2 separate regions of the Mus musculus genome follow, and region 2 is reported to be linked to region 1. The links are microRNA targets in miRTarBase. Many come from high-throughput screens and were not tested one by one. Region 1 holds a microRNA gene; the other region holds the end of a gene's coding sequence.

Evidence for each region. Region 1 holds the annotated microRNA mmu-miR-505-3p (CGUCAACACUUGCUGGUUUUCU, at 1,948-1,969, opposite strand). A microRNA usually pairs through its seed, bases 2 to 8, with sites in the 3' UTR of a target mRNA and lowers its output. Matches are read on the target gene's strand: a 7mer-m8 pairs with bases 2 to 8, a 7mer-A1 pairs with bases 2 to 7 and ends in A, and an 8mer does both.
Region 2: the mRNA of Vmp1 is a reported target of mmu-miR-505-3p. Seed matches in the 3' UTR shown: 7mer-m8 at 1,686-1,692.

What each region holds. Positions count from the first base shown.
Region 1 is chrX:60,392,469-60,396,745 of GRCm38, forward strand. Mir505 (microRNA 505) reads right to left here and starts at 2,024; the gene lies at 1,935-2,024. The region is part of intron 1 of Atp11c (ATPase, class VI, type 11C); the gene reads right to left.
Region 2 is chr11:86,581,534-86,585,810 of GRCm38, reverse strand. It overlaps Vmp1 (vacuole membrane protein 1), which reads left to right. Exons shown (of 12, transcript NM_029478.6): 12 at 360-1,953. The coding sequence ends at 503. Mir21a (microRNA 21a) reads left to right here and starts at 1,653; the gene lies at 1,653-1,744.

The DNA.
Region 1 (4,277 bases):
TTCTGAAGGTATCTACCCATTACTTAAGCCATTGAAGTATCCAACCACATAGTTTTGTATGAAGTAGTGATTTATTGCCTCAAATGTTAATTTCATTCCGGTCCCCATTTTACTGTTCCAAATCAGCAGAGTAATGCCCTGGAATCATGGATTTCAGAAACGAGTTTATGGGAAATTTTGTGCAGTTGTAGAAACCTAAAGCACCTTGATATCCAGTTTTATCATTACCTTTTATAAATTATAAATTTTATCATAGGAAACAAAGCACTGAACAACTCTTCCAGCTATGTTATGGACTAGATGTTGGTGACCCTTCCCTCCCAAATTTATATGCTGAAGTCTAGCTCTCATCATGATATTATGAAGAACTTTGGGGAAATTGATTAGGTGATGTGGGTAGAACTACGAGAAATTGATTAGTATTGGTCAACTAAAGTGAAGAAGAGTCGATGCCTCTCTCTTTGCAAGTGTCTACTTCACATGCTACTCAAGAGGCCAAAGCCAGGCATGACGATGCATGTCCACGATTCCCAACACTGAGAAGGGGGAAGGCAGGAGATTTGGGAGTTTGAGATCAGCCTGGGCTACCTGGGCTACATGCATCCCTGACTCAACTAGTCAGTATCAATCAGATACTTCATATAAAGATTGATCTTACATGTATATCTTCTATCTCAAGAACAGAGCTTGTACCGTATAATCCTCTATAGCCCTTAACAGGACATGAATATTCAAATAAAAGCTTATGACTCATAAAATATTGTCAGAAAAGAAATTTAAGCTAGTAGGCACAGTGGCATAGTCCTAGTTACTTGAAAGGCTAGGTCAATCCCTCCCCACCCATGTGTGTGTGTGTGTGTGTGTGTGTGTGTGTAAGAGGGGGGGAGGGAGGAAGAGAGAGAAAGAGAGAGTGGGGTATCAACCTTCAAATGTTACTTCAATACAAGGGCTCCAGCTTTGGTGAGTAGACTTCTAGAAATTCTCTGGTCTCAGCCTCTAATCTCCCAGTAGGAAAGGCTACACTGAGAATATGGACTTAATGTTTGTTTGTTTTGCTTTGTTTGAGACAACATTCCTCTGTATAGTCCTGGCTATCCTGGAACTTGGTTTGTAGACCAGGCTGGCCTCCAACTCAGAGATCTGCCTGCCTCCTAAGTGCTGGAATTCAAAGCTTTGTGACACTACACCTGAATGGATGACAAACTCTTGAACTACCACTTCTAGCTGGTTTTGTGGGTTCTGAGGATCTGAATCAAGTGCTTTTGTCCATTGAGCCATCTCCCCAGCCTGTTTTCTTTAAAATGAAAGGAAAATGAGCTGAAGTAAATTAAATTGTGCACTATACTACAAACAACTTAATCCACATTGCCACAAAGCAGATTAATTGTGAAGCTTAAAAGACATGCCCACTGCTCACACAACAGGTATACCTTATATAATCTTTTCTAGCCAGCTGTTATTTATTTGTGACAATTCCCTACTGGCTTCTACTCCCTGGTGATCTACAGGATTGCTGCAAAATTGTTACTTTTCCTTTACACCAGTAAATAGCATGAAACTTGAGACTAACCAGAAATATATTTCTGGGGATTTCCTTGATTATTCAACTCAAAACTAATCCCAAAATAAAAGAATAGTTACAAATATTGCCCTAAATTTATTATCCCAAGACTTTCTTTCTCTCCATATATGTATGTGTTACGTATGTATGTTTATTTATATATGGGGCTATTATAATAAAAATACTCATTAGTGTGCTTGCTATGTGGAATTATACTGCCTAAGAGGATATTTATACTTACTGCCTATGAACTAAGATATGTACAGGATGAGATGTGAGAAAGGTGCAAATGAATGTTGGAAAACATGGACAAATATATGGAACATGGAGATCTGAGCAGTTATAGAAGTACAAACAGAATCCACGAACTTGGTGATACTCCAGAGAGAAAACCAGCAAGTGTTGACGCTAACCTGGCAGAAACATCAATACTTCCTGGCTCCCCCACTGGGTGCATCAATTTACTACCGGAGGTTGCTCTTCTGCAAGTGACAAACAGGGAATGCTTTCAGCAATATGAAAAGAAATGACTCATTATGGGGAAGCATGGTTGTGGAAGCACTGAAAAGGTATGATTTCTATTAGTAGCATATACAGACTCAATCAACTCCAAGGCTGGCTAGCTTATTGACCTCGGAAAAGTAATTTTTTTTCAATGTCAATACCATATAGCACCCTTCAAACAAAGGTGAGATTTATTTCACAAACAATTGCAAATCCTTCATAATATGCATCTCCTCTCTCCCATGCTCCTAGTTTGGGATATTTGAAATGGAGTCCCCTATGGCCTAAGCTATAGCCTAGAACTCTGTATGTCTGAAGTTGGTATTGTTATCCTCCTATCACTGGGTTTGTTGGCATGTACCCCCATGCCTGGCCTATACATTCTTATATTCTTAGTACTAAATTCTAAGGATTATCCTGAATTCAAATAAATTACACTTACCACAGTGAGTAAAATGACATAAAGCAGATGGGCATGGTAGCACATACATATAATCACATCACTTGAGAAGCTAAAGCACGAGGATTCAGAGTTCCAGGCCAGCTTGGGCTAAAGAATGAGTACAGGTCAATCTGAACTATAAAGACAACTCTATCTCAAAAACAAACAAAAGTAACACAAAGCTCTGCTAGAGTTAACACTGCAGTTTTAGTCTTCAAAGTAGATTTGATGTATTAGTTGAATTAGAAAATGTGTTATCATAGGGCCCCCAAAAGAGGAGCTAGAGAAAGTACCCAAGAGCTGAAGGGGTCTGCAACCCTATAGGTGGAACAACAATATGAACTATCCAGTACCCCCCAAGAGCTCGTGTCTCTAGCTGCATATGTAGCAGAAGATGGCCTAGTCGGCCATCACTGGGAAGAGATGCCCCTTGGTCATGCAATCTTTATATGCCCCAGTACAGGGGAACGCCAGGGACAAGAAGTGGGAGTAGGTGGGTAAGGGAGTGGGGGGGAGGGTATGGGGGACTTTAGGGATAGCATTTTAAATGTAAATGAAGAAAATATCTAGTAAAAATTTTTTTAAAAAGAAAATGTTTTATCAACTGTACTTAACAAAAAAAGCATCCAAATGTACTTAGAATTTTAAAAGCTGAAGATAGTATATTAATTAGTTTTATGAAACACCAAGAAAAGGGAATGGTTTAAAGGTTCTCCTTCTGACGAATAGAAAAAAGTTTCAATAAAGGGCAAACTTTTTCTGGCCACCTACTGGGGTGCATAATTTTTTTCCTCATTCAAAATAATGGTGTAGCATTGTGGTGGTTTGAATATGCTGGGCCCATGGGCACTATTAGGAGGTGTGGCCTTGTTGAAGGAAGTGTGCCACTGTGTAGGCAAGTTTTGAGGTCTTCTTTAGTCCTCAAGCTCTACCCAGTGCAGATGAGTCCCTCCTCCTGGCTGCATGCAAGAGATAGTCTCCTCCTTGCTGCCTTCAGATCAAAATGTAGAACTCTCAGCTCCTTCTCCAGCACCATGTGTATCTGGATGCTATCATGCTTCCAGCCATGATGATAATGGACTGAACCTCTGAAACTGTAAGCCAGCACCTAATTAAATGTTTGCCTTTATAAGAGTTGCCATGATCACAGTATCTCTTCACAGCAAAGAAACCCAAACTAAGACACATACTATCCAATAAAAAGGATATTTTTTCTGCTATATGCTTTTATTAAAATAAAAAGCCTATTCTAAAACACAGAGGCCTCTTAGTGGCTGCTTTTTCAACTGATAACTAGACAGCTTTTGTTACTAAGTCAGTTCAAAGCAATTCAAAAGTACTTACTGAACATCTTATCTATAGTTTACCTGTGCTAGTGTAAAATCATTGTCAAGAACACTGTTTGAATTTTTTCAAGAATATATTGGTGAAGAAGACTGGACTAGGAAGACACTGCCACATTAATACCTCAAGATAATGTGGCCTAAGAAACAAATGATACCTGCTTGAACCAGGCACACATCTTCAACCCTCCCATATTCCATTGTAAGTATAGGGCATGATATCAATGATAGCCTATACATTAAAACTACAAAACAACGTCCTAAACCAGATATTCTTGGTCTAACACCATGCAAAAACTGCATCTTTTATAATCAAGAAGACAGCCAAACTGGCAATCCATCCATACACTGCAGTAATTGAGGGGCTGTCTGCCAGTGTGAATAAGGCATCCTGTGCCATATCTGCAGTGCTGAACACTCATTCATC
Region 2 (4,277 bases), not on the chromosome of region 1:
CTCTCAGAGTTTAGGTCCTCTTCCCCTTCCAAGCAAGGTCTGCAAGGCTGTAGAGAAAGTATAGACTCTAACCAGACCACTCTGTCACAGTGTAAAAGGACAGCCCACCCTCCCATCCCTCCCTAAGCCATACAGGTTAGCATCAGCTATCCATCCCACAGCTTGAACTGACAACCTAGTGTGGAAAAGCTTGGCCTGAATGTGGATTTCAGCCTACCTAGAGACCGGTTTTTAGTTGTTTGGGTATAATAGGCAAGCCTCAAGTTCTCATTGTTTCCCTTGAAGTGTTGCAAATAATCTCCTTAGTGTTGAACCGAGGAAACCCTTTTTCTTGAATTGTTCTGCTTTCTTTCCTACAGGGAGAAAACTGGTTATCCTGGATGTTTGAGAAGCTGGTGGTTGCAATGGTGTGTTACTTTGTCCTGTCTATTATTAACTCCATGGCACAAAACTATGCCAAACGAATCCAGCAGCGCTTGAACTCAGAGGAGAAAACTAAATAAGCAGAGAGTTTTTATCTGCAGAAGTTAACATGGTGGAGTCCTGCCTTACACTGGGAGGGCTCTAACCAGGAAGGAAGGTCCCCGTTTCCAACCTGTGTTGATTTTTAAAACATTCTTCCTGAAAGCAGTTTAGTCCATATGTTACACTGACATACTTTATTTGTTAAGGTAAGGTGTCTACACCCTCAGTTCAATCCACGTCGTATTCTTTAGGGTGGATGTGATGTTCTGCTGCAAACTTAACAAAAACTGGCCTTCTGATACCTTCACAGGGCCACACAGAACCTTCTGAAGTATGTTAAATATGTCAGGCTTTTTAGGCTTGTCACAAATGATTGTTTTTTTCTAAGTCACCAAATGTATATAAGTTATATATATTGGATAGCAATCTTGCATGTCTATCATGGAACAATTTAATATGCCTTCCTTTCCCACCCTCAAAAAGGCCATTTTATGACGCATTGCACACCCTCTGGGGAAATTGATCTTTAAATTTTGAAACAGTATAAGGAAAATCTGGTTGGTGTCTCACAAATGAGTACGCCATTTTTTATTCTGTATATTTAGAATGAAGTCGTGAAAAACTTTATAAAGACATCTTTGATCATTCCGAAATTGTGTCCGTTTTCTTTAGTGCTATGGTTTTTTGTTTCTTTTTCACTTCTACAAAGCGAGTGGCAGCCTTGCCAATTAGACTTAAACCAGAATTGCCCAGGCTTTTATGTATTGCCTGAGAGAGCTACCTCCAAGGTGTTTTGTTGTTGGGCTGGAGATCTAAGCGGGACTATGAGGTTCACCTAGAGTGGGAATCTCTTACTTTATAAAAACAAGAAGTGGTGATGTATAAATCAGAGGACACTAGCAAGAAAGGCTTTTTCATGTTCATGTTAGTTTTAGCTGTTTGTACTCCGGCTTTAACAGGTGGAAGCTTACTTCTCTGTGTGATTTCTGTGTTTTATTTCAATGTGATTTTCCTTTGACATTTTTTTGATTGACCCTGTTCATTTTGTTTTGCCTGGTAGGAAAATAAACAGCTTTCTTTCCTAGAATTGGCATTAAGCCCCAGCAAACCAGAGATGTTTGCTTTGCTTTAAACCCTGCCTGAGCACCTCGTGCTTGCCCCCTGTCGTGGTCGTGACATCGCATGGCTGTACCACCTTGTCGGATAGCTTATCAGACTGATGTTGACTGTTGAATCTCATGGCAACAGCAGTCGATGGGCTGTCTGACATTTTGGTATCTTTCATCTGACCATCCATATCAAATGTTTTCATTCAAACATTACCCAGCATCATGGTTTGCAGTCAAAAATTGTGGTCCTTATGTCTTGTGAGACTTGGAGCCCTTATACCTTGGTACAACAGCAGCAGTATCAAGAGAAAACTTCCTAGGAAATTGGGGTAGTCGTCACAGTCATAACTAAATAAATAAAAATGAAAAGTCACCTTGCCTCATGGATTTTGGAAAGGTTGTCCTTTGTTGGCTTTTGGTTGGCTGGTTGGTTTATGTTTTTTTCTTTACAGGGACTAACAATTTGTTACCTGGCCATACTTGAAAAGCAATGCCCAAATTAACAATGAAATTTTTATTTGTTTGTTTGTTTGCTTGTTTATTTACTTATTTATTTTGAGATAAGACTTCACTATGGAGACCAGGCTAGTCTTGGACTCATAAGAGATCAACACACCCTCGCCTCCCAAGTGCTAGAATTAACTTCGTATGCACCGTGCTGCCAGGCTTAGACTAGTATAATTCATATGTTAGCTAGCTAGCATCAGAATTCCCACCTTACTTTGCAATTGTTTCATCTCTTTGCCTCACTATTTTATTTTGTGTTTATTTGAAGAAAGAAGATGTTAAGTGTGAATTATATTAAGTCTTTGGGATTTATTTATAAAACTTGCTTCAGGATAGAATATTTAAGGAAAAAAAAAATGGTTTCCTAAGCTAAAAGTCTAGGAGACTAATCAAGCCCTAAACTCTGTTCATTTGTCCTGGATTCCCGCTGAAGCAGTGAGATATCTCTTCTGTCCCATGGTTGCCTGGTTTCATTAACCACTATCATAAATATATAGTTATATGTCTCCAAAGATACTACTACTTAAGTCTAGCTAGTAGGAGCCCAGAAAGTTTGCAAGTGGATGGTTTGATATTCCTGAAACTTGGAGAGAGCTCGGGCCTTCTGACTCCATCTCATAAGTCTTATTTTGTTCCTCTGCACTCCAGCTGCATGCCCCATCTGCAGTTTATTCAATCAGACACTGCCATGGAATGGGTCTGGAATCTTATGTACACATAATCTGGAGTGTGGGGCTCTGAAGAAGGATACTTCCATTTATTTGGATGCTGAACATATAGTTCAGTGGTTCTCAACCTGTGGGTCATGGCCCCTTAGCAGTCCTCTGTCTCCTAAAATACATTATGATTCATAACAGTAGCAAAATTACAGTTATGAAGTAGCAATGAAAATAACCTCGTGGTTGGGGGATCACCGCAACATGGGGAACCGTATTCAAGGGTCACAGCGTTAGGAAGGTTGAGGACCACTGGCCTTGTCCCATCCTCCTGACAAGCTAGAAAAAAAGAAGACTGCAAATGGTGTATTTTTCGCCTGCTAAGTGTAGAAGCACCTCCTGTGGTGAGCATTCCTTAACCTCCTCCTGACTCCAGCATGCTCTGCTGTCTGTAGCATAAAGACAGTATGAGATTCCTGTCACCCACCAAACACAAAACCTGCGTTAAGCTTAATAAGTTGCTGTGGTAAATGTTCCTATAACTCCAGTTTTGTTTCATTATTTTGCTTGTCTGTATGTTTTGAGACAGGGTCTGTCTGTGTAGCCCTAGTTGTCTTGGGACTCCCCGTGTAGACCAGCTTAGCCTCTGACTCAGAGTTCTGCCTGCCTCTGCCTCCAAAGTGCCTGAACTAATCACACCTAGCCTTAACTTCAGGTTTTTAGACTGATATGTTTTTTAGTTGCGTGTATCTGTGTGGGGGTATGTGCACATGTATTACAGTGTCAGAACACGGCATTGCATGGGAGCTGGAATTACAGGTGGGGCGTGTTAGGAGCTAAACCCAGGGCTTCCACATGAGCAGGGTTTGCTCCCACCTGCTTGCCATCTCTCCACTCCTGTCTTCAGTTTTTAAATCATCAAAGATGATCTTAGACACATGCAGAAACGTCATAATGTAGCAAGTGCACCAGAAACTTATCGCAGGTTCTCCACTTCAAACCTAGGCTTTTAGCGCTGCCGCTAGCAGGAGCTGCCGCCGGGCTGCACCGGTCTTCACGTGCTCCTTTGAAGCCTTCAGCATCTTAGATAGGTTTTTGTAGTAAGGAAAAAGACTATTTGGCCAAACCTTTTAAATTTTATTTTGAGGGGTATTGTGTTGTGTAACTATGTGTGTCTTCTTCCCAGTGCTGAGGCTACATTCCAGCTTGACAAGTTTTGTTTCGGGTTTTTTGTTGTTGTTTGTTTGTTTGTTTGTTTGTTTAATAACTACGTTTTATTTTTGTGGATGAGCGTACACATGCCGTAGTGAGTTCCTGAAGGTCCAAGAACAGCTTCTGCCTGTCAGTTTCCTTTTCCTTCCACATGAGGCTCAAGAGTCAAACTCCGAGCTTCAGTCCTGCCACAGAACCCTTCCACCAGGCCAGAAAGCAGTTATAAAGTCCAAATCAGGCTCTCGTGGTGAAAAGCCTTTGAGCCCAGCACTTGAGAGGCAGAGGCCAGCCTGGTCTACAGAGTGAACTCCAGGGCATCTGTCTTGAA